Mus musculus: one gene and its partners. The protein of the gene in region 1 purifies or fractionates together with the protein of each later gene. This does not show direct contact. Links are inferred from orthologs where the notes say so. Each region holds a gene or a part of one and is shown on either strand. Other genes may lie near its edges. The genes, in order: Sf3b1, Srsf5, Ncbp1, Zfp326, Prpf40a, Ybx1 and Snrpa1.

Evidence for each region.
Region 2: the proteins of Sf3b1 (region 1) and Srsf5 purify together in Homo sapiens (co-immunoprecipitation; 3 studies listed by BioGRID and IntAct, with this or other methods). This does not show direct contact. The link is inferred for Mus musculus from reciprocal best matches to the Homo sapiens genes SF3B1 and SRSF5.
Region 3: the proteins of Sf3b1 (region 1) and Ncbp1 purify together in Homo sapiens (co-immunoprecipitation; 3 studies listed by BioGRID and IntAct, with this or other methods). This does not show direct contact. The link is inferred for Mus musculus from reciprocal best matches to the Homo sapiens genes SF3B1 and NCBP1.
Region 4: the proteins of Sf3b1 (region 1) and Zfp326 purify together in Homo sapiens (co-immunoprecipitation; 3 studies listed by BioGRID and IntAct, with this or other methods). This does not show direct contact. The link is inferred for Mus musculus from reciprocal best matches to the Homo sapiens genes SF3B1 and ZNF326.
Region 5: the proteins of Sf3b1 (region 1) and Prpf40a purify together in Homo sapiens (co-immunoprecipitation; 3 studies listed by BioGRID and IntAct, with this or other methods). This does not show direct contact. The link is inferred for Mus musculus from reciprocal best matches to the Homo sapiens genes SF3B1 and PRPF40A.
Region 6: the proteins of Sf3b1 (region 1) and Ybx1 purify together in Homo sapiens (co-immunoprecipitation; 3 studies listed by BioGRID and IntAct, with this or other methods). This does not show direct contact. The link is inferred for Mus musculus from reciprocal best matches to the Homo sapiens genes SF3B1 and YBX1.
Region 7: the proteins of Sf3b1 (region 1) and Snrpa1 purify together in Homo sapiens (affinity purification with mass spectrometry; 8 studies listed by BioGRID and IntAct, counting the BioPlex papers as one, with this or other methods). This does not show direct contact. The link is inferred for Mus musculus from reciprocal best matches to the Homo sapiens genes SF3B1 and SNRPA1.

What each region holds. Positions count from the first base shown.
Region 1 is NC_000067.6:55,024,633-55,028,889, reverse strand, and holds the start of Sf3b1 (splicing factor 3B subunit 1), read left to right. Parts: upstream 1-1,411; 5' UTR 1,412-1,523; coding exon 1,524-1,551; intron 1,552-4,257. UniProt on the Homo sapiens protein: Component of the 17S U2 SnRNP complex of the spliceosome, a large ribonucleoprotein complex that removes introns from transcribed pre-mRNAs.
Region 2 is NC_000078.6:80,944,156-80,948,355, forward strand, and holds the start of Srsf5 (serine/arginine-rich splicing factor 5), read left to right. Parts: upstream 1-1,343; 5' UTR 1,344-1,517; exon of another isoform or gene 1,518-1,643; intron 1,644-2,420; 5' UTR 2,421-2,439; coding exon 2,440-2,565; intron 2,566-3,155; coding exon 3,156-3,226; intron 3,227-3,340; coding exon 3,341-3,439; intron 3,440-3,640; coding exon 3,641-3,710; intron 3,711-4,200. UniProt on the Homo sapiens protein: Plays a role in constitutive splicing and can modulate the selection of alternative splice sites.
Region 3 is NC_000070.6:46,137,219-46,141,367, forward strand, and holds the start of Ncbp1 (nuclear cap-binding protein subunit 1), read left to right. Parts: upstream 1-1,292; 5' UTR 1,293-1,634; coding exon 1,635-1,668; intron 1,669-4,149. UniProt on the Homo sapiens protein: Component of the cap-binding complex (CBC), which binds cotranscriptionally to the 5'-cap of pre-mRNAs and is involved in various processes such as pre-mRNA splicing, translation regulation, nonsense-mediated mRNA decay, RNA-mediated gene silencing (RNAi) by microRNAs (miRNAs) and mRNA export.
Region 4 is NC_000071.6:105,875,135-105,879,426, forward strand, and holds the start of Zfp326 (DBIRD complex subunit ZNF326), read left to right. Parts: upstream 1-1,433; 5' UTR 1,434-1,548; coding exon 1,549-1,564; intron 1,565-1,639; exon of another isoform or gene 1,640-2,097; intron 2,098-3,253; exon of another isoform or gene 3,254-3,386; intron 3,387-3,614; coding exon 3,615-3,659; intron 3,660-4,292. UniProt on the Homo sapiens protein: Core component of the DBIRD complex, a multiprotein complex that acts at the interface between core mRNP particles and RNA polymerase II (RNAPII) and integrates transcript elongation with the regulation of alternative splicing: the DBIRD complex affects local transcript elongation rates and alternative splicing of a large set of exons embedded in (A + T)-rich DNA regions.
Region 5 is NC_000068.7:53,188,416-53,192,620, reverse strand, and holds the start of Prpf40a (pre-mRNA-processing factor 40 homolog A), read left to right. Parts: upstream 1-1,388; coding exon 1,389-1,598; intron 1,599-2,520; coding exon 2,521-2,652; intron 2,653-4,093; exon of another isoform or gene 4,094-4,173; intron 4,174-4,205. Other genes in the region: Arl6ip6 (ADP-ribosylation factor-like protein 6-interacting protein 6), read right to left, coding at 99-498.
Region 6 is NC_000070.6:119,277,491-119,281,052, forward strand, and holds part of Ybx1 (Y-box-binding protein 1), read right to left. Parts: intron 1,722-3,562; coding exon of another isoform or gene 1,710-1,721; coding exon 1,475-1,709; 3' UTR 1,444-1,474; intron 878-1,443; 3' UTR 1-877. UniProt on the Homo sapiens protein: DNA- and RNA-binding protein involved in various processes, such as translational repression, RNA stabilization, mRNA splicing, DNA repair and transcription regulation.
Region 7 is NC_000073.6:66,059,160-66,063,170, forward strand, and holds the start of Snrpa1 (U2 small nuclear ribonucleoprotein A'), read left to right. Parts: upstream 1-1,176; 5' UTR 1,177-1,451; coding exon 1,452-1,533; intron 1,534-2,964; coding exon 2,965-3,112; intron 3,113-4,011. UniProt on the Homo sapiens protein: Involved in pre-mRNA splicing as component of the spliceosome. Associated with sn-RNP U2, where it contributes to the binding of stem loop IV of U2 snRNA.

The DNA of each region.
Region 1 (4,257 bases):
AATCTTTTTTGTTTTGTTTTTGTTTTTTGAGACAGGGTTTCTCTGTGTAGCCCTGTGGAACTCACTTTGTAGAACAGGCTGGCCTTGAACTCAGAAATCCGCCTGCCTCTGCCTCCTGAGTGCTGGGATTAAAGGCGTGCGCCACCACGCCCAGCATGAAAAAATCTTATTTTTATAAAAGAGGATTCACAAGACAATTCTGGGTGATCTTTTAGTGATGTTTATCATTACTCTGGAACTCCAGGAAGTATTTAGCTTCTACAATTACCACAAATGCAGCAAATGCTCCTTTGAATCTGTTATAGAAATGATAAGCCTTCCCAGTGAGAAAGCATCCTGCACATTTGGAGGATAATAAAGGAAAAAGGTCTGGCACAGCTGGCTCTGGCTAATGCTCGGTAGGGCCAGCCTTGAATACATTTTGATAACTTAGAGACACCTTAGGCTTATTTTCTCCAAATATGAGGTTATCCTCAAATTTGTAATTTAGGTCCCAACCCTGGGTTACATTTAGTACAACTTAAACAGAGACAGAAGGCTGAAAATCTGGTCAATAGGTCACTCCTATTTGCCTGGTCATTTAGGCATCAGTTATTGCCAGAATTATTTTAAGTGCACCAGTGTTGTACTTTTTCAAATAGTTGTTACCTGGGGTCATCTTACCCATTTGGCAGAATTATGTTTCTCTCAAGAAAAGAACTGGGCTTTATTGTAGATCAGGACTTAACATTGCTTGTGACCCTATACTATTCCCTTGAGCTGCCTGTTAAGAGAAGTATTCTACCGTATCTAATGGCTGGTCAATACTGGTGAACCAACATTAACATCTTAGGCATCATAAACTTTATTTCTAACAGGCCTGGCTAGCATACTGTTTATTTTTTGGGTGTCTTGGAGGCAGTGTTCCTTTGGCTAAATTCTATTTTGTGTAATTTAATCTCTCTCTCTCTCTACTTTTTATTTTTGTTTTTTTCGAGACAGGGTTTCTCTGTGTAGCCTTGGCTGTTCTGGAACTCACTCTGTAGACCAGGCTGGCCTCGAACTCAGAATCTGCCTGCCGCTGCCTCCCAAGTGCTGGGATTAAAGGGGTGCGCCACCACTGCCAGGCTCCTTTGGTTTTATTAAAGACAGGCTTTGTCTGTACAGCCCTGGCTTCGGGAACTCTCTTTGTAGACCAGGCTGGCCTCGAACTGCCTCTTCTCTTCCGAGTGCTTGAATTAACGGCACGTTACCCACCACTGGCCGGACAGGCTACAGCCCTCTTGGGAAGTAGCCATCCTCTTCCGCGTTTAGTCTTCCCCGCGGTTTCGCTGGCTTTTTAAGGAAGCCGCCGGGAGCCCGCCCTGGCCCCGCCCACTCCCATAATGCCCCTCGCAGTCTCATATAGGTGGCAGTTGAAGTACGTGCTACAGTGCGGCGCGCGCTCCCGGGTGCGCACGCTCAGAGAGCGGCCTCTGTTTCTGGCGGCGGCGAGCGGAAGTCCTTGGGAGCGCCAGTTCCGTCTGTGTGTTCGAGTGGACAAAATGGCGAAGATCGCCAAGACTCACGAAGGTAAGCGGCCTTTCCCTTCCCACGCGCGACCTCGGCAGCCAGCCAGCCGCGGCCCTCTCTCCTGGCTTTCTGCGTCTTCGCGTGGCATCTCTGGTCTCGACCGAGGCCGCGCGGCGAGGCCTGCTCGGCTCGTCGGCGCAGGCCGCTGCCCGCGTAATGGCGTCCTCTCGCACTCCGGGACCGGCGCTTTGTTCCGCGCTGGCTGTTGGTGCTTCCGAGTTCTCTTGTTCTGACCGGAGAGCCTCGCTCGAGCGGCTTGCCCCGGGGGACTCCCGGGGAGGGAGCGGGGAGGCGGACGTGGGAGGCCGACTTTCTCGCCCCCCGGGCGCTATCGTCGGCAGTTCGTACCTGGAAAGCCCTGAATGACGGCAGCCGCTTTCGGGCCGCTCCTAACGGAGGCCGCTTCAGCGCAGGCCTGCCAATCCCAGCCTTCGCGATACAGGCATCTCCAAGGCGGCTGGATCGTGTTGTGGTGCTTGCACTAAATGATTCCGGCAGAAAATCTGGTAGTTTACTCCTTTAATCACTTGTGTCCTGGTGTTCTATCTTTTTCCCTTTGAGAGCTAGGTGTTGGAGAATCAGGAGGAAGAGAGAAGGAAAGGCAGATTTGACCAGTTGCCAAAGTTTTCTGGGTAGTCGCTTATTTTATGCTGCACAAGAGTAAACAGAGCTAGAAACATGTTGAGAAGCAACCAGATTCCATAAGGAAAGTAACCAGAGAAGACGGGAAGGAATTTGAGTCTGAGAGACAGAATCCCTGTTTCTTGGCTCCCGGTTAAGAAGCCAAAATTTACGCTGACACTAAGTCACTAAACCCGTCCTTTCTAAGTGTGTGTCTCGGTGTTAGAGAGAGGTAACAAGCTAAGGATGTCAGAAATTTGACAGTTTGATGTGGAAGCAGATGTGTGAATATTCTCTTAGAAAATCAAAGGAATGTGTACAGAGAAGTAAAGCCAGTACTTTCTGAGAAGCTGGGTAACGGAGCCATTAATTTATGCTTAGTTATTTTTGGGAGGTGGTGACGCGGCGCTGATAAAAAAGGATCAATCAGTTTTAAATTAGGGGAGGATGTCTGAGCCGGAGGGAACATCTTGTACCATGCAGTGAGTGTCGCTGTGGTAGGATAGAGGAGGGTGTAAGGAGGGAATTCCGATGCGAATCTAAAGAGATGGTTTAGGACCAATAGCTGGGACATTTGAGGAACTGAAAATACTAACACTTTTGAAAGCCAGAAATGTCCCTGCATTAACTAGTCTTTTGTCTTTAAACATGAAAGTACAACACATGTTTTTGTTTTCTTTTTTGAGATAGTCTTACTATGTAATTCCGGTTGCCCTGAAACTTCCTGAATAGAGGAGACTGGGTCCCACTTCAAAGAAACTCATCCTCCTGCCTCTGCTTCCCAAGTGCTGGGTAAAAGGCCTGTGCCTGGTTAGCCCAACACTTTTTTTAAAAAAAAAGATTTATGTGAATACACTCTGTCACTGTCTTCAGACACACCAGAAGAGGGCGTCAGATCCTATTACAGATGGTTGTGAGCCATCTGTAATTGAATTGAACTGAGGACCTCTGGAAGAGCAGTCCAGCCCCTAGCCCAACACTTTTTAAAGCCAGAAATGTTTTTGGCCTCATTATTTATCTTTAGACTACTTCAGATATTGTTTGTAAAATAATTAGGAAATTGAATCGTGTCGCTGTTTTGTTCAGTCAGTGGTAGGTTATTTATTTTAATTGTTTTCCATTGTGGGGAACCAGTGAAATTATTGGACTTCCAGAGCATGGGGGAGGGGAAGTGCTTACTGAAGGAAAGCATGGTTTACTCCTTACTGGCTTCCTTATAGCTGCATAGGTAGAGTCCCATACCCTAATAGGTTATTGATTTATGGAGATTTATGGATATTTTGTAGCTTTGATTGTTGGCTTATTGATATCTTCAATGTAGCATACTCCCAGTTGGATAAATGCAAAGTTTATTTTATGTGCATTAATATTTTTGCCTGCATGTAACGTCTGTCTGAAGGTGTCAGATTCCCTGGAATTGGATTAAAGGACAGTTGTAAGATGCCACATGGGTGCTGGGAACTGAACCTAGGTCTTCTGGAAGAGCAGCCACTGCTCTCAGCTGCAGAGCCATCTTTCTGGCCCTGGTAAATGTAAAGTTTAGGGTCCTTTCCTCTTTCCTTTCCCCTTCCCTTCCCTTCCCTTCCCCCTCCCTCCTCCTTTCCTTTCCTTTTTCATTGTAGAAGCCCAGCTAAACTTGTTTTCAAAAATTGCAATTGCTTTTTTTTTTTTTTTTTTTTTGGTTTTCGAGACAGGGTTTCTCTGTGTAGCCCTGGCTGTCCTGGAACTCACTTTGTAGACCAGGCTGGCCTCGAGCTCAGAAAATCCGCCTGCCTCTGCCTTCCGAGTGCTGAGTTTCGATTTTTTTTTTGTAAAAATTGCTATTTTATTTAGGATTATTTTATTATTGAATTAATAAAAAATATTATAGAAGTATGTCACAATTTGGTATAAGGTCCCTCAGTATAAATCTTTATTGTCTTAGTCTTTTTTTGTTGTTGTGTTGTTGCTACGTTTGTTTGTTTTGAGACAGAGTTTCTCTCTGTAGCTCTGTCCTGGAATTTGCTCTGTTTATCAGTCTGGCCTAGAACTTTTTTTTTTTTTTTTAGACAATCTCTTCATGTAGTTTCAGCTGTTCTGAAACAC
Region 2 (4,200 bases), on another chromosome or scaffold:
GCCTTAGGTTACAGATAAAAATATTAAAGAGAAGTAGCCTTTTTCACAACAACAACAGTCTTTATTGTCAATGTTTCTAGACCTCCCAACCTCACTGGGGAAGGCTGGATAGAGTTACCGATGTGGACTGCTGTGTATTACATCCATGCTGGAAGCATAAACTCTATTTCTCAATAACTGTTGATTTCGACTCTTTTTTTTTTTTTTTTTTTTTTTTGGTTCTTTGACTCAGGGTTTTCCTGGCTGTCTTGGACTTTGTAGATAAGGTAGGCCTGGAACTCACAGAGATGATTAAAGGCTGAAGCTACCACCGTCCACCTAACTATTGAGATTGAGACCTGGACAGAAAGGAATGGACAATGGCCAGTTGGATTTAGAAACAACTTGAAATCTTTCCCAGCTAGCTGAGCCAAGATTGGCCCTAGGGATTCAATATATAGGAGCGTTTTTTGTTTTTTTTTTTTTTACCCACAGTACCAATTTCATTATTTCACCACGTGAAATCTCTCCTTTAGTAGAAAACAATTCAGTTCCTTAGGCTGATCAGAACAAAAACCACAACACTGAAAGAATTCACTTACTTGAGCCTCAGAGAACCCTCTCTCTCTCTCTTTTTTCCGAGGCAGGATTTCTCTGTGTAGACCAGGCTGTCCTGGAACTCACTCTGTAGACCAGGCTGGCCTTGAACTCAGAAATCCTCCTGCCTCTGCCTCCCAAGTGCTAGGATTAAAGGCGTGTGCCACCACGCCCGGCTAAGAACCCTCTCTTGAAGGACATTGATAAGTACAATTTGCAGAAGAGGCTAAAGAGAGAAAGAAAGAAAGAAAGAAAGAAAGAAAGAAAGAAAGGAAGGAAGGAAGGAAGGAAGGAAGAAAGAAAGAAAGAAAGAAAGAAAGAAAGAAAGAAAGAAAGAAAGAAAGAAAGAAAGAAAGAAAGAAAGAATTGGACCTGGTGCTCGGGCCAATAATCCTATCACACTGAAGGCGGACCGGCTGGATCGCTGAGCTCAAGGCTAGCCAGGACTGCTTAGCGAGACCGACTATGTAAATGAATTTTTAAAAGAAACAGGTGATTTTTGAAAAGCCTGGGTTTCTTGGTAATCTTCGAGGGACCTAAGAAAAAGTTTAAATACATCTTTTCGTATCCAAAGAAGTGTCCCGGTGTATCCTGCCAACTGAACGAACGTTTCTAGTCCTCCCACCACCCACTGCTCTCGCCAGGGGTCGCGGTAAGGAAGCCCCGCCCTACTAGAACTTCCGGCTCCCAGGAACCGTCTGTCCTCAGCTCCAAGTGGGCGGTCCCCGAGCTTCTGGCACCGCCCCGGAAGTGACGCCAGGACGTCCCTTCCATTTTGTGCAACGTCCGAGCTGCTAAGTGCGTCAGTTGTGGAGAGACTGTAGACGAGTTGGGTTCGTGTGTATGTGTGTTGTGTGTGTGTTTGTGTAGGGAGGCAGACAGCTCCGTCGCAGACTACGGACCTCTCCGGGGTCTCAGCCGCCAAAGACCCTGTCCGGTAGGTGAGTGGCACGCTTTGAGGGCAAGGCTTCTCGGATCGAGGCTTCTTCATGGCCGCTCGGGTCGCAAGTGGCCGGGGCTTCGCTCTTTGCGGAGGACGGCGACTCAGAGAGCGCAGTTGATTTGAGGTGGGCGCTGGGGCACGTCTCCCTGTGGGTGTTGCGTGAGGGGGACACGAGGCGGAAGGGCGGGCGTGGGGAGGGCGTTTGTGTCGGGAAGCAGCGCGCCCCTCCCTGCCGCCCTTAATGGCTCTCATCGAGGCCCGGACGCCGGGGAGCCGGCCTGGCCCAGGGCAGCTTAGGGTTTCCCCCCGTGGGCCGGCGCAGGCGCAGCGCTCTGGGCCCCGGGCTTGCCCGTGTCTCGGGGGCACGCAGCTCGGCTCGCTACGCTCCTCCCCCCCCCACACCCCGCCGCATACTTCGGCCGTCGCCATTTTGTGCTGCGAACGCGCCCCGTCGCCCACTGCGCAGGCTCGGTGGTGGCGTCGCGAGATTCCGGCTTGTGACGCGCGGGGAGGCCGCGACGCGGGCGCGGCCGGCTGCTATTGGACCAGGCCTGGCAGAGGGCGGGCTCGGCTCCGCCCGCATTTCTCGGCCTGGCCTTAACTGCGGCAGATGGGAGGGGAACCCCGGGATCCGGGGACAGCGTGTGCGGCTGCGCAGTCTAGAAAGGTGGCTACTGGCGTTGTGGTGGGCTGCCGTGTGGAACCTGGGAAGGGGGTCTTTTGGAGAGTTAAGTTTTAACTTGGAATTTGAATGTGGTGGTCGTGAACGACTTAAAAGGTACATGGCGACCTTGTTAGTAGAGTTGGTAAACGTGGGGTGTGTTTGACTGCTTGACTGAACATCCCCCACCCCCATGGTGTCAATCGTTGATATTGTCTCGATTCAATTACTGCCTAACAGGAAACACTAGCCGGGCATCATGAGTGGCTGTCGAGTGTTCATTGGGAGACTAAATCCAGCAGCGAGGGAGAAAGATGTGGAAAGATTCTTCAAGGGTTACGGACGGATCCGAGATATTGACTTGAAAAGAGGTTTTGGTTTTGTGGTAAGTACTTGAAACTGAGTTGAATTATCTGTCGAGAAGTTAGGTAACTTTGTGGTGGTGACACATGCCTTTGGTCTCTGGCCCTTGGGAGGCAGGGGCAAGCCAATCCACAGAGAAACCCTGTCTCCAAAAAAAGAAAAAAAAAAAAAACAAAGTGGGTAGAGCTCTTGTGATGAGCATGGACTCTGAGTCCATGTGAATTGTTTTCCCAGAAAGATGTTAGAAGTGGCCAAGAAGCAGTGGCTTCTGTTAAGAAGTTAAAGTAACTGCTGGCTGGAGTTGATTCTCAGTCATCCCTAGCTTAGGGTTATAGTATCTGAGTGTAAGGTATATCTTAACACTTCCATGATTTTTTTTTTAAATTTATTTTTTATTTTTTTGGTTTTTCGAGACAGGGCTTCTCTGTATAGCTCTGGCTGTCCTGGAACTCACTTTGTAGACCAGGCTGGCCTCGAACTCAGGAATCTGTCTGCCTCCCGAGTGCTGGGATTAAATTAAAGGCGTGCGCCACCACGCTCGGCTTCCATGATCTTAATGTGCTGTAGAATGCATGCACGTCCAAAAGCTCTACTCTTACTGCTACATTTTAGGAATTTGAGGACCCAAGGGATGCAGATGATGCTGTTTATGAACTTGATGGGAAGGAACTTTGCAGTGAAAGGTAAGCATGATTGGTTTATAAGTAGTTCTCCCAGGGAAGTAGAGCAGAGTAGACATTTGCATATGTAAGTGCTCTCATGTGTAGTGTGTGAATGCTTTTTTTACCTCTTTGTAGGGTGACGATTGAACATGCCCGGGCTCGGTCTCGAGGTGGAAGAGGTAGAGGACGATACTCCGACCGTTTTAGCAGTCGCAGACCTCGAAATGATAGACGGTATGTGGTTTGGGTTTGGCTGTTACGGTTGGGTTAGGGTCCGTTAGCATTAAATGGTTCTCAGACTAGTTAAGTCTAGTTAGTCCACATGCTGAGAACCCAGAAACTTGATGGAATCACTATCTTGGCTTAAACTTGTCACATAGCATTTGACATTGTGACATAACATCTGACACTGAATGCTTATTTTTCTTTCTTCAGAAATGCTCCACCTGTAAGAACAGAAAATCGACTTATAGTTGAGAATTTATCCTCAAGAGTCAGCTGGCAGGTTTGTTGAAATACAGTTTTGAGATATTTTTTAATGTGGCATTTAAAAGTGTTAATGGGTAGTTAATGTTTTATTAATATATATCTTATTAAATGCTTTATCTTAAATTAATTTAATTGAACTATAATTTTAAACTTTAGTTAAATGTAACTGGGGGATGTTTCAGATTTTAATATTAGTGATCAAATGTAAATGTTTTGAGGTTATTTTTTCATGTTTTTTAAAATCAATTTTAACCAAATATTAAACCCTTTATTTGCCAGCCTATCTGTGTCGTTGGCCTTATGACGAGGAGTGCCTGTGGGTTATCCTAATCGTTGTCTTGGTCACTCTTGGTTGGGCCTGGTTGACTTTGCCAGTCAGCTCCTACAGTGATCAGTTGGCCACCTCTAGATCTGTGTTTGCCGGTCTAGACGTAATCGGTGCACTTACTTGAAGTGCCGGGTTGCAGCGATCCCAGAACCGTTGATAACGTGATCTGATCCCTAAG
Region 3 (4,149 bases), on another chromosome or scaffold:
TCTTCCAAAGTCTTACTCTGGATAATCTGTCCTCAATAGCAAAGGATGAGTGATAATTTGTACCACTCGCCCTTTGCTATTAAGTCCGTCAGACTACAGTACCTGTGATCATTCCTGAGAGGGTCACTTAGGGCTTCAGTATCCTGAACACCGTCTCGTTGTCCCATGTACAGACGGTGACAAATGTTAATTAATACAATATAGTACTTGCTGAATGAAATAAAGCAAGAGTTGAGGAGTCAGAGAAATAACTCTGTAGGTCCCTGACAGTTAGTCATGTAAATTTCAGAGCAGAGACCAACAGATAAAGAAAATAAGTCTTGATTCCTAAAATGTGAACAAGCTGGACTTTAGCAGAAGAACATGGTGGTTTACACACAATGACGGGAACAGAACCCAAGAAGCCATAGTTTGGAATTCGCAGTGGAAATTCCTGGAAAGATGGATTGCTTGCATGTACGAATAAATAAATGAAAAGAATAGAAAAACGATAATCTTTAAAATAAACAAAGAGAAGTAGAGCCGGAAAGATGGCAAGATGGCTCACTGGTTAAGAGTGCTTACTGCTCTAGCAGAAGACCCGGGATTCAGCACCCCCACCCCGCTCCCGCGCACTCTCCTCCTTGCTCACAGAGAGTCTGAAACTCCAGTTCCAGGATGATGTACAGACTTACAAATACATAAAATATTGCTTTAAGTCTGTGAAGAGTTTTAAGCATAGTAAATAAGTTTGACTAGACTTGCTCTCAGAGTATAGCAGGCAGTGTTAGTGGATAAACTGTAACACAGGAAGTGAAGGAGCTAATGACTCCTCCCTAAATTCTTGGATTTAAGCAAACTACCGAAACGGCCATTTACTGTAACAGGTAAGACTGAAGGAAAAGTTTGGGCTAGACCATGGACAAGACAGTTTGGTGTCCATCACAGGGCAGAGGACGTCCACATACTGTACACGTGCAGAGGAATAGAACAATTGGAACCACACCGATCAGTAGCTGGGGCGTCCGTCAGCTGGGAGAAGTAGGCAGTAGGACTACAGTGAGCAGATTCAGCCGGACGGGCCTGGATTCCCTACCGCTGAAAGTGGCTTGCCCTCCTCCCCGCTCAGGTCTCCCGAGGCGTCTACAGCGGGATGGCGAGAGAGAAAGAGAGAACACCTACCCGCAAACCCTAGGCCTTTCCTGGGTCTCCCTTCACCAACTTGGCGCTGCTCCCCGCCCTCGAGCCCACGCCCCCCGGCGCGCGCGTGCGCAGAGAGTCCCTGAGCCGTCACCTTTCTCCGGAAGTCTCCTAAGTCGTCGGCGCAGGGGCCGCCGGGAAAATCCCGCCGGGCCTGTATAAAGCCGAGGCGGGATCGCTGCGGCCCGGATAATTTAGCTCGCTGTCCAGAAGGGCCCGGGGTGGAAAGCCGGAGGAGGCGGCCGCAATTGGACTTGCAGACGCCGGCCTTCCACTGCGGAGCCCATCCGGTGCCCCTCTGCACGCGCTTCCGGCAGGCGTCGTAAGCGAGTGCGCCTGCGCGCCGCTCAGTCCGCGCGCCTCGCCGCTGACCGCGCACCGGCCGGCCGGCAGCCCGACGGTTCTGGGGTTGCAGGCGGCTAGCAACTCAGATCGGCTGCGCACCAGCAAGCAGCATGTCGCGGAGGCGGCACAGCTACGAGAACGATGGTAAGTGCTCTCGGCCTGGCCACTGCGTCCGGGTGAGAACCGAGGCCGGGCTCGCCTTCAGTCTCCCGGGAACGGATAGGAATCCTTTCTCCCCGGGAGGGCTCGGGGAGCCCCAAAGGGAGGCTGCTGGCTCGGTTGTGGATAGTGGCTTCGGGAAAGCGACGGCCTCCCTGCTACCCCATCTCCTTCAGTCATGGGAAAGGAAGGCCTGGTGAATCCCGTGAGCAAATCCGACCTGGGGTCCCGCGACACTGAGGACTTAATCCCTCACTACTGATCATGGAAACCGCACGTGTGTCTGTCTGCTGCTGCCTCTTAGGATCACTTAGTGGAGGAGATATATCTAGTGGACCAGTGTTTTCCTTTTAGCCCTCCAGGGTGTACTTGGAAAGGACCCTGGGAAGACAGGAAAAGAACAAAGCTATGACAGAGGTCGGATGTATTGCAATCTGAGCCCTTCTCCTCCACCTGCCACCCGCTGATTCCCCTCTTTTAGGCTTCAAAAAAAGAATACCAACACCCCAGAGGTCACTAATAAACAGGCACGGGGTGTTTTGTTGGATTGGCTTTAAGCATATTTCCCTTATAAGAAAGTGCAGGAAAACCCGAGCAGATTATTAATTCTCATGTCAGTTTTGATGGTCGCCGGCAAGGACGTCGTTGTGTTGCCATAAATTTTGTTTTGTTGCACCATTATTGCCTTTCAAGAACACACTTGGAGCTGTTAGTGTTAGGTCCAAAGGGTTAAGGCAAGAAAAAACTTTAGAACCGAAGGGTTTAGGTTCGAAGCTCGACATCTCGATTATTTACTATGTGATCTTGTCAGGGTCATATGACTTCTTAAACCTAAGCGTGGACTGTGGATAATACTAAGCCATTTGGTTTCTACGGGGGGCTAAATGAGATATTGTGCTCACCAGTAGTTCATGATGATGTTTATTTTGTCAACTGCTAATGTCTCAGAGGTGATACACACAGATAAATGCTGACATCGTTGAGAAAAAAAGCCCTCCCTCCCCCAAGTTTAATTGGGTTAGCTTCCTCCCTTGGAATGTTAAGACAACCAAGCGAATCCCATATAGTGGAGCCCCAGGTTTCTGCCAGTAGTACCTGAGAGAATGTCCTAATACATCAGGAGTGCCGACTTGCTAAACAGTTTCCTAGCTTCTGTGCTTGCAGTGGAGTAGGAGGCAGTAGAACAGTGGAGGCTCCCTCCCCTGGGTTAAGACAAACCCCACAGCGGTATAGTGCAATTCGTTATAAGGTCACGGGGTTGTGGAGAATAATGTGAGGTAAAGGGTGTAGAGACCAAAGTGAGAGAGAAGCTGGTTAGGTAAGGCCTCCTTGCAGATGGCCTATGGCTTCAGTGATGTGAGGATGAGCCGTGTGGATGCTTGGAGGAAGCAGAGGTCCAAAGGAAACCGTGAGTTAAGGTTAGAACATTTCTGTCGTGTTAGAGAACAGACAGCAAGGAGGTCATTGTTGGTAGAAGAGAGAAAGTGAGGGTAGAAGTTGTGAGACCGGGGAGTTTAGATGAGCCTCTTACCTCACTGGGCCACTTGAACATTTCTGTTAGGACTATATGATTGGGGATTCACAGAGATACTACAAGGTTGCTAATCAATAAAGTTCCCGTAGTTTATTTAGAGTCACAGAAAGGGCTATGGTAAATGGAAAGTATCAAATCTAACTCAGTCTTAGACTCTTTTGTTTGTTTGTTTTTGAGACAGGGTCTTTATGTGGCTGTCTATGTATGTAGTCCTGGCTGTCTAGAACTATGCAATTCAGGCTGGAACGCCTGTTCCTATGTCCTGGCTAGATAGATCCCACTGACTGCCCTGCCTTACCCCAAGGGGAATACCATACTTGGCAGGCTTAGATTCCTTAACAGTATCTCTGAACTTCTTCAGTAATGTTGGATATACATTTTATCAGTGTGAAGTATATTGTCTTATTGTTAAGAAGGAATTTAGGCCCGGCGTGGTGGCGCACGCCTTTAATCCCAGCACTTGGGAGGCAGAGGCAGGCGGATTTCTGAATTTGAGGCCAGCCTGGTCTACAAAATGAGTTCCAGGACAGCCAGGACTACACAGAGAAGCCCTGTCTCGAAAACCCAAAAAAAAAAAAAAAAAAAAGAAGGAATTTAGATTGAATCTTAGTCAAAAGTCCAGATAGCCTATTCTACTTCCACTTAGGTCTTTATATTTTATTGTGGCTGATGTTTTTACACTTAACTGTATGAAAAGTTTGTTATACATAGGGACAATATACTTTGTTTCAGAAGTGATATTCTTCTACCATTTTAAATTCTAGTTTTAAGTTTGTAGAGTCAAAGTTACTTTTTTCTTTTATGGTGGTGTTTTTTGTCTACTTTGTTGATCTGAATTACAGTCTGATTCTAACAAGGGCATAGGAAACAGTACAATGTATCTTTGTAACATTCGGTTCCTATTGCAGGGAGAAAAGATCTGGTGTCTTGTT
Region 4 (4,292 bases), on another chromosome or scaffold:
TCTACTCAGAGCCTTAATGTGGGAATGACATGACCAGTTGGCATCGGACCCCATTACAGATGGCTGTGAATCTCTTTGTGGTTGTTGGGAATTGAACTCAAGACCTCTGTAGAAGAGCAGTCAGTGATCTTAACCACTGAGGCATCTCTCCAGCCCTGTATAAGCAAGAGTTTTGCAGGGAGACAGTGAGTATCCTAACTCAGGTAGTGGCCACGAAAATGGAAAGGGTGGGGCCGACCTAAGATATCTTAGGTGGGGTAAGCAGATACAAAAGTGTGTGGATTGGAAGTAGGAGGCTGAAAGAGCGGTGAGCTAGTCTCGAGTGGACTGGACCGAGTCAGCCTTCTGGCTGGGATTAGTGGGCGGTTTGCTCACCGCCCCGTGAACAGCCAAGAGAATACACGAGGATAAGCAGGTCTGAGAAGGGAAATTGTGAGTTCAGCTTTCAGCCCAGGTGAACAGAAAACATGTGTGGGAGGGGAGAAGAGAAGGAATTGGGAAAGGGTGGAGAACAGGATGAGTCAGGGAGGGTGGAGGAGGAAGAGATGAGCAGGAGGACACAAAGCCGTGCCCAGATTTGGGGCTACTGTGGTATACCTCCCTGTGCTTCCAGTTTTATTTCCGGCTTCCTCCGAACTGAGTCTAGCAAATTGAGTGCAAAGAATTGATGTCTGGCTTCCTATCTAGGTAACCAATTTGTTGTTAATGCCATTTGCTCTGTGAGGACAGAGAGAAAATTATTTAAAACTGTGGTTCAAGTCCACAAGAGTCTTCCCATAGTGTTCCTGAGTGAATACCTTTGCATCTGCTCCAACACAATTTTAAAAGTGGAATAATCTCTTCCTCCCCCTCCCTCCCTCTCCCCTTCGAGCTGAACGGTGGACTACTTTCTTCCTGCCAAATCTTTCCCATCTGTGAACTTTCACAGTTGCTTTACTACCTTCAACCCAGCAGTGGCTAGCAGCCTGTCTTGGGATAGTCTTATGATCCTGTCCTATTTGGCAATCAGGGTTCCTGTGCACGCCCCACACTTCTGTGTGTCAGAGGAAGGAACTCCATAAGTAGTGAAAAAAATCTCTCCTCCTCACTCCTTCAGCCAACAGTAGCCAAAGGTCGCCATGTCATTTAATGAGTTTCTGCAAGAGAAAGGCACTCCCTCCTGGACCCGGTTGCTCTTGCCAGGCTCCAACATGGCCGGCCAACCGGAGTCCTTCCAGAACATCCCTCTCCAGCCTTCCGCACTCCCGTTTCACCTTCCGTCCCCCGCGATCCCCAGGGTCAGGACCCAGGAGCCTGACAACTGCCTCGCTTCCCGCCCCCCTCGCGAGACCCGCCCACCACCCCGCGTCGGCCAATCGGAGGCGGTGCTGCGACGACTGGCAGGCCCGCCCGACCCCGCCCCCAGCCTCGCTGTGGCCTGCGGCTTCCCGGCTAGTAGCGCCGCTGTCGGTCGCGCGGGCCGGTCGTGTGGACACTGCCGTATCGCGGGCTCTTGCCGCGGGCCACAGCGAGCGCAGCGCGGAGACCGTCAGCCCCGCGGCGTCGAGCATGGACTTCGAGGACGGTGAGCGGCGCGCGGGGCGGGCCGCCGTGGCGGGCGGGCGGGAGGGAGGGCGGCGGGCGGCCTGCGCCGGGGGTCTGTTTACCGCCTCAAGATGGCCGTGTGGCTTTGTTCTGTGGGCCGCGCAGCGACCGCGGGCCCGGCCCGGAGCCCTGTGGTCCGGGAGCCCCACGTGGGGGTGCGGCCGGCCCGGGGCCCTGCTGTCTAGGGGGTCGGCCTAGCTGCGAGCCTCGGGGCCTCGTCCGCGGCCGCCTGCAACTTCCTGGCCTCGCCGAGCGGCGACCGGGCCCACGGGGCCCACGGGGCCCTCGGGGCAGCGACCCGGTGGCGGGTGGAGCCGGTCCTCACCGTGTCGCCCCGGGCTCTGGAATCTTGCTCGACACAGGCTGCCTCGGGCTCGTGCGATGCTTCTCCGTGTGAGAGGAGTATAAAGGGCGTCTCTAGGCGTTCCATCGAGATGGGCTTCGGTTCCCCCAGAACCAGAATCTGCAAGTTATTACCACGTAGCCGACCGAGCTGTCTAATATCTCACCCAGGTTACCTGCTAGTGAATACCGCGTCTGAAACAGCTCCGTGACCCAGTGCATTATCATTATTATTTTTGTTTTTAGGGGTGGTAGTGGTGGGGCTTGTGTATGAATGCTACCTAAGTTAGAATTCTGGCACAGCAAGCCCCAGATGCCCTTCACGTTCAGCTAGATCGGTGCACAGCAGCCCGTGTTGGACTTGCTGGTTAAATAAACCGAATTGTAACGTTGCTTTTCAGCTTTCCCTGGCCGTGAAGTACAGTTAATTTGGTATCTTCAAACCTTGCTCAACTTTTATAGGAATCAGTGTCAAGATAAAGTGATCAACAGTAGTGATAGTGTTAGGGAGCCGAGGAACAGTTTGTAGGATTAAACTGGGTGTAATCTCGAGGAACTAGGTATTTCTAAATAAAACCGGTTCATTTCTTGTGAAGGAAGCCTCTGCCTCCACCAGAAATGGGCTTTGACATTGAATGAGGTGTGCTTTTTTGGCGTAGGTCGTATTGCATGAGCTTTTGATTTTTGATTTGCTACAAGAGGTTGAGGCTGTCAAGTGTAAATATAGGAAAAAGAATCACCCTTTTCGGAGTACTTTTCGGTTGCTTTGAAATATAGTTCAGCTCTTCAGGATAGCATACCGTCCTGCTTGTGCTTCGGGGTTGGACAGTGACTCATTCTGATATAGGTGACTCTAAATTACTACTATGTGCACTAGTCAGAGTTGACATTGAAGAGAAAAAGTATGTTTTAGACCAAAGTTTGATGACACTACCAACCTATGTGGTGTGCCAGAAGTTAACCTTGTAGTGTGTGCAGAGTGGGAGGAGTCAGTCAGTAAGGAAATCCATTTTCTGTAGAGGATTGAAAAATAGCGGTCAGATTTGGAGTATTTGCTTTCATTATACTTATGATAAAAATAATGAACAATGTTAGAGATAAATAATCTCTTAACAGCCCATCCGTAGCCACCAATGCTGCAGTTGGGCTGTAGATTTGAGTGTATCTGACTCTGATCCTGTCATGTGCCAGGGTTCAGTTATATCTAGAAGCTCCATATTCAATTCCGTTCTTCCAGTCTTTATTTGTAGAGTTAAATAAAGGCTTTAACATTATGCCTGGATGGATACAGCCCACGCTCATACATATATGCATATGTGTTTTTTAGACAGGCTTCTAAAGTATTTAGAGAGAACAGATGAAGTGGTAAAACAAATACTGACCTTGAAACATTTGTATTCCACAAGACCAAGTTTCACATCCATCACCGTTTTTGAAAAATCGTTTTACCTTTGCTTTGTGTAAGTTAAATTAATACTGGGTCTCCTCTTTTGGCAGTTACAAATATGGACATTAAATAGTTTTTACATTGCCATTAGGCAGTGAAAGGGTGATGTGCTTCCTCAAGTGGATGCTTGTAATTATTTGCATCCCAGTTTTTTTGGTAATTAATTTAATGCCTGAGTAGATGAGAGTCTGGGCTTTTGCTCACATCACACTAACTCCTTGTTGTTTATGTGTCTTCGTAGATTACGTGCACTCTACTTGCAGGGGTGCTTACCAGGACTTTAACGGTGAGTGTCCTCTTGCATTTCCTTTTAATTTTGTTGAGGGGATATAGTTTGGTATTCTCTTCATATCTATAGAAACACAGGTATTAATGCAGGAAGCCTGCCCACTTTGTTTCAGATATTCTTCTCACTCTTGATTTATAAATCTCAGTGTTAATGTCATACTATATATCGTGTTTGTTTTTATGGTGTGTGTGTGTGTGTGTGTGTGTGAGAAAGTGTACATGTAGACTTTCTAGAAATCTCATAAATTCCATCCAATTATTCTGCCACAGTGATATCTCCAGTTCTGTGTATAATATTTGAACTTGGGGTCAGAACAAGAAGTTAGATTACTTGGACTTTGTATCTGTTTTATTTTACTTAGAATTCTTTTATTTATCTGTTACCACTTTCTCAGTGATTGATTTTCACGAAACTGGCTGAATTACTTTTGTTGACAAGACATTGATGTTCAGTTACATAGATTTAAGTAGATTTTTATCTTGGTTCTATGCAACTTTTGTTGTAAAATGTGTTGGCTTTGTTTTTGAGGCCATTTTTCTCTGACCATCAAAGGAAAACATAAAGAGCCTTGGATACTTGTTAACAAAAGCCTGATGTTGGCTTGTGATTAGCAGTAGTTGTAAGAAATAT
Region 5 (4,205 bases), on another chromosome or scaffold:
CTCGAGGGAACGCTTTGGGAGGAGAGTGTGAATGGGGGCGTGTGATGTACTGGCTGCACTTTACGCTGGACAGCCTTTCAAGGCCTGGGCTTCAATACCTTTAACGATCATGTAGGCGATGGCGAGAAGGAAAGCAAGGAGGACGGCGAACAGCAGCGAACAGAGAATGGAAAGGGCTTGGATGGGCCACCGCCGAGCCTGGGTTCGCTTGGCCGCAGTGGCCGGGAAGATGCCGTTGCGCTTATCCGGCAGGACCGGAGACCCGTCCCCGACCCGGGGGAGTAGCGGGGCCCTCTTGGTCTCCGACGACGCCCTGGCTGAGAACTCTGCCCGCAAGTCGCGGGCCACTTGGTCGCATCCCTCGTCTTCGTCGCCTTCGCCCTCACCCCAGCTGTCCCCCTGAGTGTAGTCGGAATACCCGGGCCGAGTCGCAGGGCCTGGGGTAACCTGACGGCGCCTCCGCGCGCCCGCAAACCTCCAACTCTCCACGAACGACATGGCGGGAAAGACTGAGAGTCCCGCGAAGGTCGGCTGTCCACCACCGCCACGCCCCGCCCCGGCTACAGCCAATCAGAGACGGCCGTCGGCGGACCCAACCACCGCGCGCAGAACCGTAGGGGAGTGCAAGAGCGGGTTACCCGGGGACTCCGCTTCCGGAGGCGCCGTGGGAGCGCGCGCCCATGGCCCGCCGCGACAACACTCTCATTTATTCCACCCTTTCGGGTCCTGTGGGCACGCACCTCTCGAGCCCCATGACCGCAGTTCCGCGCCTTCCTAACCGCCAGTCGCTTCCTCCCTCGGGCGAGAGATCTCTGTCTTTACCGCTCCCCGCCAGATACAGTTCGCGCCTCCGCCCTTCACTATGCCGGGCGCGCGCGCAGCTCTCGAGTTTCTCCCCCCCACCCCCAAAGGCACGACCCCCTCCCCAGGGCAACCGCGCGCGCGCGCACTAGGCCGCTAACGCCGGGTGCCGCTTCCCCCGCCCCACCCCCACCCCACCCCTGGTGGCCTCAGGTTTGTGGGGCGAACGTAACTAGGGCGAGGGGCTGGACGCCACTGCCCCACCCCCCGACGGGGTGCGGTGGCCCGAACCCGGGAATCTGGGTCCCCGCCGTGTCCCCTTTCCTGGGGGAAGTTGGTAGAGTTTCCCCGGCAGAGCACTCGACGCAGAAACTTCCTCCGTCCCCCCTCCCCCCCCCTCCATGCAGGCGACGCCGAGCGAGGCAGGGGGCGAATCGCCGCAGAGCTGCCTGTCGGTCTCGCGCTCTGATTGGACAGTAGGGAAGCCTGTCAGTTTATTGGCCCCGCTGATCCCGCCCCGCAGCTCAGGGCAGCCTTTACCCTTTGGCCCCGGCGGGCGCCAGCCACTCAGATCGCTTCTTGTTGGTATGTGCAGCGGCAGTGGCCGCCGACGGAGCAGTCTGAGCCCGACGATGAGGCCGGGGACTGGAGCCGAGCGTGGAGGCCTCATGGTGAGTGAAATGGAGAGCCAACCTCCCTCGCGGGGTCCCGGGGACGGGGAGCGGAGATTGTCCGGCTCAAACCTGTGCTCCAGTTCTTGGGTCTCTGCTGACGGCTTCCTGAGGAGACGGCCCTCGGTAAGGGATCGGCGGGGTAGGGGAAAGCGGCACAATGAAAAACCGAGTCAGAGAAACAGGAAGCTCTCTCCAAACGGAGAAGAGCATATCAGGAAGAGAGCTGCAGATGGTGGGCTACGTCCCAAGGGGGAGAGATGGAGGGCGGGAACACACAAAGAAATAGGTGGGACCTTGGACTTGCCAGTGGTCTTGGCCTAGGTAGATAGATGCCTTAGGAAGAAGGAAGGTGCTGGGCCCCGGGCGGACTGTGCATCTGAGAGCCCCAGGCTTGACTTACAGTAGGGACACTTAAGTCTGTGGGACTTAAGGAGCGGCTGCTGCGGTCTTATTTCTCCGGGAGTGGTGGTGATTTGCAGGGCTTGGGGGATTCGGTTGGGAGAATTGGCTGCGGATACTTAGTTTCAAGCCAGGAACAATGGAAGTATTATATTTTAAGCTCCCTAAAACGGCATGAATTTGTTAGTGTCTGGGACAGTTTAACTCTATTAAAACATTTGTGAAGTACTCTTGGGTACCCGCACTCTGTTTTAGGTCTTGTCCATATGAATGTAATTTTAAGTAGTATAAGCTGGTTATGTGTATAAAGGTGACGGAAGTTGTGTTCATCGTAATAATTTTTTAAGTTGGAATTCAATACATAGTCACCAAGTCTGACCAGTCATTTAACAGTTTGTTAAGTCATTGGAGAGGGGTTGTAATCCGCTAATGGGTTTAACTTTTCCATTATTTTGTAAATTTTCAGGCCCCATCTAATAATCACTGTAGTGTAATTAAGATTAACTTCAGTATATGCTAATACTGTAATTTAATCACAGTGATTTAATATTGTGCCTTAATTGATGGGTTTTAGTTGTTGTTTTTGAAATGACATTTTAAAGAAGCATTTAACTGTCTCTCACTCTCCCTTTTTATTATTTTTCAGATGGGGCATCCTGGCATGCATTATGCACCAATGGGCATGCACCCTATGGGTCAGAGAGCAAACATGCCTCCTGTACCTCATGGAATGATGCCACAGATGATGCCCCCTATGGGAGGGCCTCCAATGGGACAAGTAAGAAGACGCTTTCCCTTTGGCTTGCTTAGTTTTGTTTGAGTGTGTCGAGATGTATTTAAGATGTAAGTCAGTGGTGTACTTGCAGCCCTTTAAAGGTTAGTTTATATCCACGTAATGTCTTCAAACAAGACAAAACATTACATTGCTCATGTCTGTAACCAAATTTTGAATGTAGTAAGACTGTATGAGAAAAAATTAACTGACTTCCTCAACAAAATTAAGCTTTAAAAAAAATAAGCCGGCTGTGGTGGCGCACGCCTTTGATCCCAGCACTTGGGAGGCAGTGGCAGTTAGATCTCTGAGTTCAAGGCCAGCCTGGATCTATAGACTGAGTTCCAAGACAGAGAAACCCTATCTGGAAAACCAAGCAAATAATTTAAAGTGAGAGTATACATCTAATCTATTTAACTTAGTGACTTTATTTCAGGCATTATAATTATTAATGGTCTAGGAGTAAATATATATCAGAAGATAATCGTGGTGAATGTGTAAAGCCTAGCATCAGAAAAATAGTAGTTACTTGGGGTTTTCATGTAGAATGAATTTTATTCTTGGAGTATCTTCCTCTTGTTTGGGGTGCGGAGGGATTTTCTGCTCTATTACTAATTCTTTCCTGGACAGTGCCAAATAGGTAGCTCATTTTCTACTTAATTTTTGAATGATAATTGCTTCTATACTCCTACTTGTGCGTTGCCCCTTGAATCTCTAGCACAAATCGTAAATGGACGTTTTTTCGTAGGAGTGATTGGATTAAAAGGTTTTAAGATGACTCAGGAACACGGGTAGAATTTCTAGAGAAGTGGTCAAGAAAGACAAGAGCTTGAGGTGCATCAACAGTTCTGTCCTATGCTAGGTTCTATATAATACACTGATTCTTAGGTGGGCTGGGTTATTCCAGTTGAATATCTTGATAAGTCATGAAATTTTTGATTAGCAGAATATTTTAGAAAGCCAGTTGTATATTTTCTTTTGCTAATGAGTACTATTGAGTTTGACGATGGTTTGAGCAATGAAGGCTAAAGTTACTGGTGAAATTACAGGGGGAAACAGGAACTTGTGTTTTTTTGTTTGTTTGCTTTTTTTATTTTAAAGAGTAGAATGGCTCAGTGTTAAGTGGTTTTCTTTTATATTTGGAATATAGCCCTTAATTTTGGATAAGAAAATTGTATTCAAAGGCACCAAACTGAAAAGATTCTGCCTGCAGGAGTTCCTTATAGAAAAGATTCTTTTGCTCTGTTACTCTCGAATAATAATACTTTAAAACTCCCTAGGATATGCAGAGACAACTCTTGATTCTTTTTCTGTATCTTTCCATCTCTAAGCAGCACAAAACCCTTCTTGTTTTCTTGGTAGAGCTGCTCTAACTAGATAATGAGCTTTAAAAAATATTTATTCTCTAATGCTCTGGTTCTTATTTAAAATTAGTTTCTTTCCACAGAAAGATAAAATAAAACAATTTGCTACTGCCAGACGCTTCTCTCTTTTCTGGGGCCTTCTGTGTCCATTGGGCCAGGCAAGGTAAGTTTGCAAGGGGTTGGCCTGCTTACCCT
Region 6 (3,562 bases), on another chromosome or scaffold:
CACCCGGCCCCCAACATTAGGTTTTAACCAACACTGTCTGTTATCGGTAAACTCACACCTGTGAATCTTACCCAGGAATTCTTTCACTATGCTCTTGACAGCAGAGTATTTACAGCAGTCACCATGACTGGTATGAGCTAACACTAACATGTCTCTGTGTGTTTATGTTAATAGGGCTGCTGAAGTCTTTCATCAATTCCTATTAGTTTCTACTACAAAGAATTGGCCTAAAAAGTTGATGGACTTGGCGGACAACTAGCAGCCATTAGTCCCCACTCAGCAGCAGTTCTTTAGTGCGATGCCAGTGCGCTCGCCCTGGAGCTTCTCTAGAGGGAAACACCCCAGACTAGCCCGGCCCCACAAAGCTTCTCTACCCCACTCACGTGGCTACAGCTGATGCCTCACAGCACTCCTGACAGACTGCTTACTGCTGGTGTTACCTGTTATTCTAAAAGTGGGAGAGAGTACTCAATTATGACAAAACTAGACATTATTATTTAAGACCTTTATTAACAGGTGCTTGCAGTTTGTTGACTTTTTTGAAAAAATCAAGTTGTAAACTTTATTACAAATTAAAAATGAAGTTCTTAAAAATCTCAACTTGACCAGATATGAAACAATTTAAAAACCGTTAAAGGTGTATTGAGAAAAACCAGGCCTTTTTTTTTTTTTTCTTAAAAAACACGTTTGTCATTACCAAAAAGAGACATCTTTAGGTAAAAATAATAAAAACCCCATGCTGCATAGATAATGCAGATAGTTCTAATGTTATCTGGTCAGAGGGCAAAAAGCAAGCACTTAAGGTCTTCAGCTCCAATCTTTGTTCATTTCTTATTGCTGGAATTTCATATTCATTTCTTCTTGTTGGATGACCAAACTGCAAAGAAAAGACTCTTAATTACCATCCCGAAGTCTAGCTCGTGGACCACACTCTAGAATTGGCACTCTAGCAGCCACATTTCACCCACTGTTTGGCTTTAGCTTAAAGGATGATTTACAAGAAGAGAAGTGGACACTAATTGAAAAATATGGCAACCCCAGAACCAGAGCAGGTAAACAGTCTTACTCGCTAGTAAAGTCAAATTAAGCTAAACTAGGCATGACAGACCTCAGATTTCCTGGTTGGCTTCAAATTCAGAAATCTGCCTGCCTTCTGTGTGGGTGCTGAGATTAAAGGTGGGCACTGCCAAACCTGGCAAGGTTACTTTTCAAACCTTCAAATTCACAACACTGTCTTCAGAGCACAGGAAGTAAGACTTTGCTTAGCTTTCTGCCAAAATTATCATTGATTCAGAATGTAGGCAGCTCATAATCAAAAAAGTACATTTGTCTAATTTGTGCTAGAGTGCACAACACTATAATAAAATGTCTTATCTTAATCTATTACTGCCAGTTTCTTTGCACCGTAGCTCAGTGCAGTGGAAGCCAAGGGTGCCTACTTACCCGGATGATGGTAGAGATGGTAAGCCGGCATTTACTCAGCCCCGCCCTGCTCAGCCTCGGGAGCGGACGAATTCTCAGCTGGTGGATCGGCTGCTTTTGTCTCTTTGCCATCTTGTGGTTTAGGGTTCTCTGGGCGTCTGCGTCGGTAATTGAAGTTTCGGCGATACCGACGTTGAGGTGGCTGCTGACCTTGGGTCTCATCTCCTTGATTTTCTTTGTCCTCTTCATTGCCATCCTCTCTAGGCTGTCTTTGGCGAGGAGGGCCCCTGAAATGAATGCTACATAATCTCAGAAAACAGTAACAGCTTTTTTCCTTCCTTTAGCCTTACCACAAGTAATATTTGGTACCTGGGTGCACCAACCATTTATTCAAGTGGTCTTTCAGACAAGCTTACTTAGCAAAAAATCTAAGTTACTCTCAAAAGCCAAGTGTATAAGTAGATTCTCATTCATTCATATTAACCAAGATCAATAAAGCTGAATCAGCTGCTCAAATGCTTGGAAACAGAACCATGCTGGTTCCCTCTGCCTGGACTTTTCTTGCCAGTAACTATTCTTCTATGTACTATGTACTTTTAAACCTCTCATTTCCATTTAACACACACTGAAATCCTTGACCTAATTTTTTACCGATACCAGTACCCTTTCCATCAAAAGGAGCTATACTTCCCACGGGTCTTAATATTTCCTATTTGTTCATGAACAAAAAAATTAGTATTTTCTCACCATGTACTTATACATGAGTAGCACCATGTTTCATTTACTACTGTTAACACTTAAACTGACAAGCAATCAACTGAGAAGTGACCAATTTGTGGCATGGTTAGAAAATCCTTTACTTTGTGCAAACTTTAAAGCTTGCACAATGTGTTACCTACCATAAAACTAATTCAAGGGCCGGAGAAATGGCTCCATAGTTAAGAACACTTGTTTCCAGAGGACCAATGTTTGATTCCTAGCACCCACATGGTGGCTCACAATCAACCCTAACTCCAGTTTCTGGGGAACCCACAAGCTCTCTGACTTCCATGGGCACCAGACACATGCAGGCAAGCGTTCATACATATATAGAACAAACAAAAATCAAAGCAGAAAGGATCAATACCTATCTTTATAAAAGGCAGACATACAACTAAAAACACCAAAAAATATTTGCCCAAGATATCAGTATACACAACTACCTGTTCGTTCTTAACATCAGTACCAAGGGATTTGATGCCTCTGACTAAGGCACACATACATGCAAACAAAACATGCAAATAAAATAAATCTAAGAAATATATAACCAACTATAATGAACCATCAAAAGGTCCCTAATAATCTTAAAAACACGGGACATTACGCAGAGGCAGGCGATCTGGATCTGAGTTTTGAGGCCAATCTTGCCTGCACAGAGTTTCAGAACAGTCAGGGCTACATAAAAGCTTGATCTCAAAACAAATGAGTAACACACAGGGCAGTAAGCATGAGGGCGCACACCTTTTAATGCCAGCCCCGAAGAGGCAGAGGCAAGCAATTTCTATGAGTTCTGGGCCAGTCAGAATTACCAGGTGAGACACTGCCTCAAAAATGAAATCAGGGCTGGTGAGATGGCTCAGTGGGTAAGAGCACCCGACTGCTCTTCCGAAGGTCAGGAGTTCAAATCCCAGCAACCACATGGTGGCTCACAACCATCCGTAACAAGATCTGACTCCCTCTTCTGGAGTGTCTGAGGACAGCTACAGTGTACTTTACATGTAATAAAGAAATAAAGAAATAAATCTTAAAAAAAAAAAAAAAAAAAAAAAAGAAATCAAACCAACACAGAGCACTGGTCACACTGGGTGCCAGGGTAAAGGCCTTTGATTCTAGCTACTCAAGAGGCCAGGCAGGAAGGCTGGTCGTTTGAAGCTGGCAGCTCAAGCAACTTAAATATTCTCATTCTCCCTTCTTTCTCAAAAAAACCACACACACACACACACACACAAAAGATTAAAAGATCACAAATGTTGACATACACACAAACACACCACACACACCTAATTGGGGGTGGGAGGGTCAAAATCAGGAGGGTACTTGGACAAGTGGACAGAGGATTCAATCCCAAATTCTGGGTGGGGTGGGGAACCTAGCCACTTAC
Region 7 (4,011 bases), on another chromosome or scaffold:
GCAACCACGTGTAACCCCGACTTCAGAGTATCTGGCACCTCTGGCCTTTGTGGGTATCTGCACTCATGTGCCCAAAACCACAGAGATATAACAAATAATTTCTAAAAGTATTTTTAAGAGTGTTTTCTGCTCATGCTGAGGACCAGGGGTTGACTTCTAGCACACATGTCCAAAGGATCACAACGGCCAGCTCCAGGGAATTTTAGGCTGAAGCCTCCCCTGCACCTATACACAGGTGGGCATGTACATTAATTAGTAAGCTATGATTTAAAAAAAATACGCATATGATTTCGTGCATTTAAGGCTTGGCACTGTGAGAGGCCAGGGATGGTCACTAGTGAAGGTGCAGCCTCAGTTGGAGTTGATGGCCTAGGGCTGAAGGGGTCATCACGTATACACAGGTGGGCATGTACATTAATTAGTAAGCTATGATTTAAAAAAATATGCACATGATTTTGTGCATTTAAGCCTTTGGAGACAGAGGCCAAGGCTCTGCAGGTATATTGTATTCACTGTGGGGCACTCATCACATGGCAATTTCTGATATGTGTATTCCCCTGCACTTCGTATGAATTTTTTTGGTGTTGTTTGTTTGCTTGAGATAGAGTTTCTCTGTGTATCCCTGGTTGTTCTGGAACTGGCTCTGTAGGCGAGGATGGCCTCTATCTCCGAGATCCACCTCCTTCTGTCTCCAAACTGCTAGGATTAAAGGCATTCTCCATCACAGCTAGTCAATATGAATATCACTTATGGTTTATTTTATTTGTGTGTGTGTGTGTGTGTTTGCGGTTGCCGGTGTCTGAGGAGGCTAGAAATGGACGGCAAATCCCCTGAGGCTGAAGTTACAAGCAGTTGTCAGGTGTCCAGACGGATATTGGAATGCCAACTCAAGTCCGTTACAAAAGTTGCAAGTGCTCTTAACCTCTAAGCCACCTGACCAGCGCTTTGGTATGAACACCTAAATGTCTACAGGCTACAAGTTCACCCTCAAGCTTTAAGGTGACTGTACCAGGTCAGAAGGGTTCTGTTTTAAGGCAATCCAGCCTACGGGTCCTGCCCCTTACCTGCGGAAGCCCAAGTTAGACATTTAGGAACTTGACTTTCAGGAGACTTCACAGTCTCCGCCCCTTGTTGGGTGGAGAAGGGAGAGTAGTCCCAACTACCCCTCCCTTGAGGTTCACTGACGTGAGACAGAGCATCCCTCGCGTGTTCTTATCTTTTGGATTAAAAAAACTGGAATCTGGGCTCCCCACACTCCCAGGCACGCTCAAGCCCAGAACCCAGAAGCAAAGACACGGGGGCTACGTCTTCGATTGCTTTAGCCTGGCGGTCGAGCTGCGCGGGGATACGATTGGTGCTGTCTGGCGGCGAGGCGCGGTGCACTGTGGGACACGGCACTGGCGGGAGGCGCAGGCTGGTGTCGGAGGTGAGGGTCCGCGGGCTGCGACAGGATGGTGAAGCTGACGGCGGAGCTGATCGAGCAGGCGGCGCAGTACACAAATGCCGTACGGGACCGTGAACTGGACCTCCGGGGTGAGTTAGACGGAGCGCGGGCTGTGTTCCGGCCCCGGCGCGTGGCTGCGGGAAACCAGCCCCGCCGCGTGCGCAGAGGCTGGAGCCTGGCCCGTGGGCCTCCACCCGGGCTGGGCGCCTCCGATCCACCGTCCCGCAGGGCCCTTTGGGGCTGTTTGTTACCGGCGTTCCGGCTAGCAAACACGGCGCCTCGATTCCTTCCCCGGACCGTACTCACTAGGCATTGCCCCGCTCATCGAGCAGCTTTAACTGTTGGAGGACTAGGAAAATAGAAAACGCTACGGACAGGCCGGCTGCTGGCTGGTGTTTTTTGTTTGTTTGTTTGTTTGTTTGTTTGTTTGTTTTTTAGCAAAAGCGTTAATGTGGCACCTGAGGGTAGGGTGGATATGTACCAGAGTTACCTTAATTGCCCCAATAATTCCGGTTTGGTTTTGTTCATTTGTTTTTGAGACAACGTCTCGTGTATTCCGAGCTGACTTCAAACCGTTATATAGTTAAGGTTTATCTCGAACTTCGGACCCTCTTGCCTCCACTTCCTGGGAGCTGGGTTTAAATGCCTGCACCACGTTTATATGGTGCTTTGGATGAGCCCAGGGTTTCATGTCTGTCAGGAAAGCACTCGCGCTACTGAGCCAGACCCGCAGCCCCGGATAATTTGGTGTTTTCAAGATTGAGCTGTTTGACCGTGGCATAATGGTCACTTCTGTGTGTGGGGTGGCGGAACTCACCTGTTCAGTTCTGACAGAAGTAGCACTTGATTTTTAAAACATAGAACTGAGAGGTAATCGTTAACTATTCAGGAGATGGCTTTGGAAGGGGTTAAGATTATAAGACTGTGACCAGAGGCAATCAAAGTCTCGGGGGCGCTGTGCACTGCCATTTTTGAAAGTTTCTTCCTGCCTATGGGAAATCCTAGTGTTCTTTGTGTTTGTTGAATGAAATTAACTTTCTTGGAGAAAAGTCCGGTTCAGGAGCATCTGGGTCCTTTCACTGTCTTGGCACAGTTTTGATGTCTGCTGTCTCTCTGAAAACCGTGCAGTCTGGAGAATGCTTATTCTGCTACCATATCTTTTATTGCACTCCTTCACAGCTGGGTTGTGTCCTTCCTTATAGTACCTAGCTCAGTGACGAATGTGAATACCTCATAGACGTTCTTAATAAACCATGGGCACCAATACTAGTAAATATGCCCATCTGTTCTTCCTCTTGCCTTCAGCCTCTTCAGTTTTACTTCAAGCTTTGTAGCACTAAGGCCTCCACTTAACCCTTTCGTCATTTACCTTATTTTTGTTCAGTGCACGGCATGGTGCTAGTGCCTGGTTAATACTTCCCGAATGGGAGCGCTGAGTCAAATTCCATCACATACTCCTGCGATTTTCAGGACTTTTCATTTATATTAATATTTGTTGTATGTATGTTTTCCCTCTACAGGATATAAAATTCCGGTTATTGAGAATCTGGGTGCCACCTTAGACCAGTTTGATGCTATTGATTTTTCTGACAATGAGATCCGGAAACTGGACGGTTTCCCTTTGTTGAGAAGACTGAAAACATTATTAGTGAACAACAACAGAATTTGGTGAGTGACTGCTAGTGAGAATACTTTCTTCCCTTAAGTAAGTGTTCTAATGTACCCTGAAGATAATGGGGTTTTGGTTGTTGTTTTGTTTTGTTTTAATGTATATTAGTTTTTTGCTTGCAGGTACCACACACCCTCCTAGTGCCTCTGGAGGCCAGAGGAGGGCCTTGGCTTCTCTGGAGCTAGGTTTACAGATAGTCCTGAGCTGCTCCAGCTGTAGGAATAGAATCTGGGTCCTCTGGAAGATCAGCCAGGGCTCTAAGTTGCTGAGCCACCACTCCAGCCTGCCCATGTGTCTTAAAGGGAGAAATGAATAGAGCCCTTTTCCTAAGAGGTTGGAGATTAACTTGGGCATTGGCCTGACCTTACTTGCTACTCTTCAGAAATCTTTAATATTCGTAACTGACATTAAACTTTGAATTTGAAGCATTGTGCTATGTCAACAAATCAGATTTTAGAGTAGTCATCAATAGCATCATAATTAAAAAGATTTATAAAGGCCATGTGTAGTGGTATCTGCCTTTAATCCTAACACTCTGGAGTCTGAGGCAGGCTGATCTCTGAGTTCAAGGACAGCCTTGTTGACAGCAAATTCCAGCCAGGGCTACATAGTGAGACCCTGTCACAGTAAAAATCTTTTTATGAAATAAAGTTACTTTTCACTGAGTACCTATACCTCATCCACTATGCTGGTTTTGGTTTTTGTAGTTGGTTTCTACAATATAATTCTGTGAAATTAAGATCATATTTGTTTGTATGAGTGGGGTTTCTCTGTGAGCCCTGGCTGTCCTGGAACTCACTCTGTAGACCAGGCTGGCCTCAAACTCAGAGATCTGCCTCCCTTTGCCTTCTGAGTGCTAGGATCAAAGGCGTGCACTACCACCACCCTGATGGCAAAG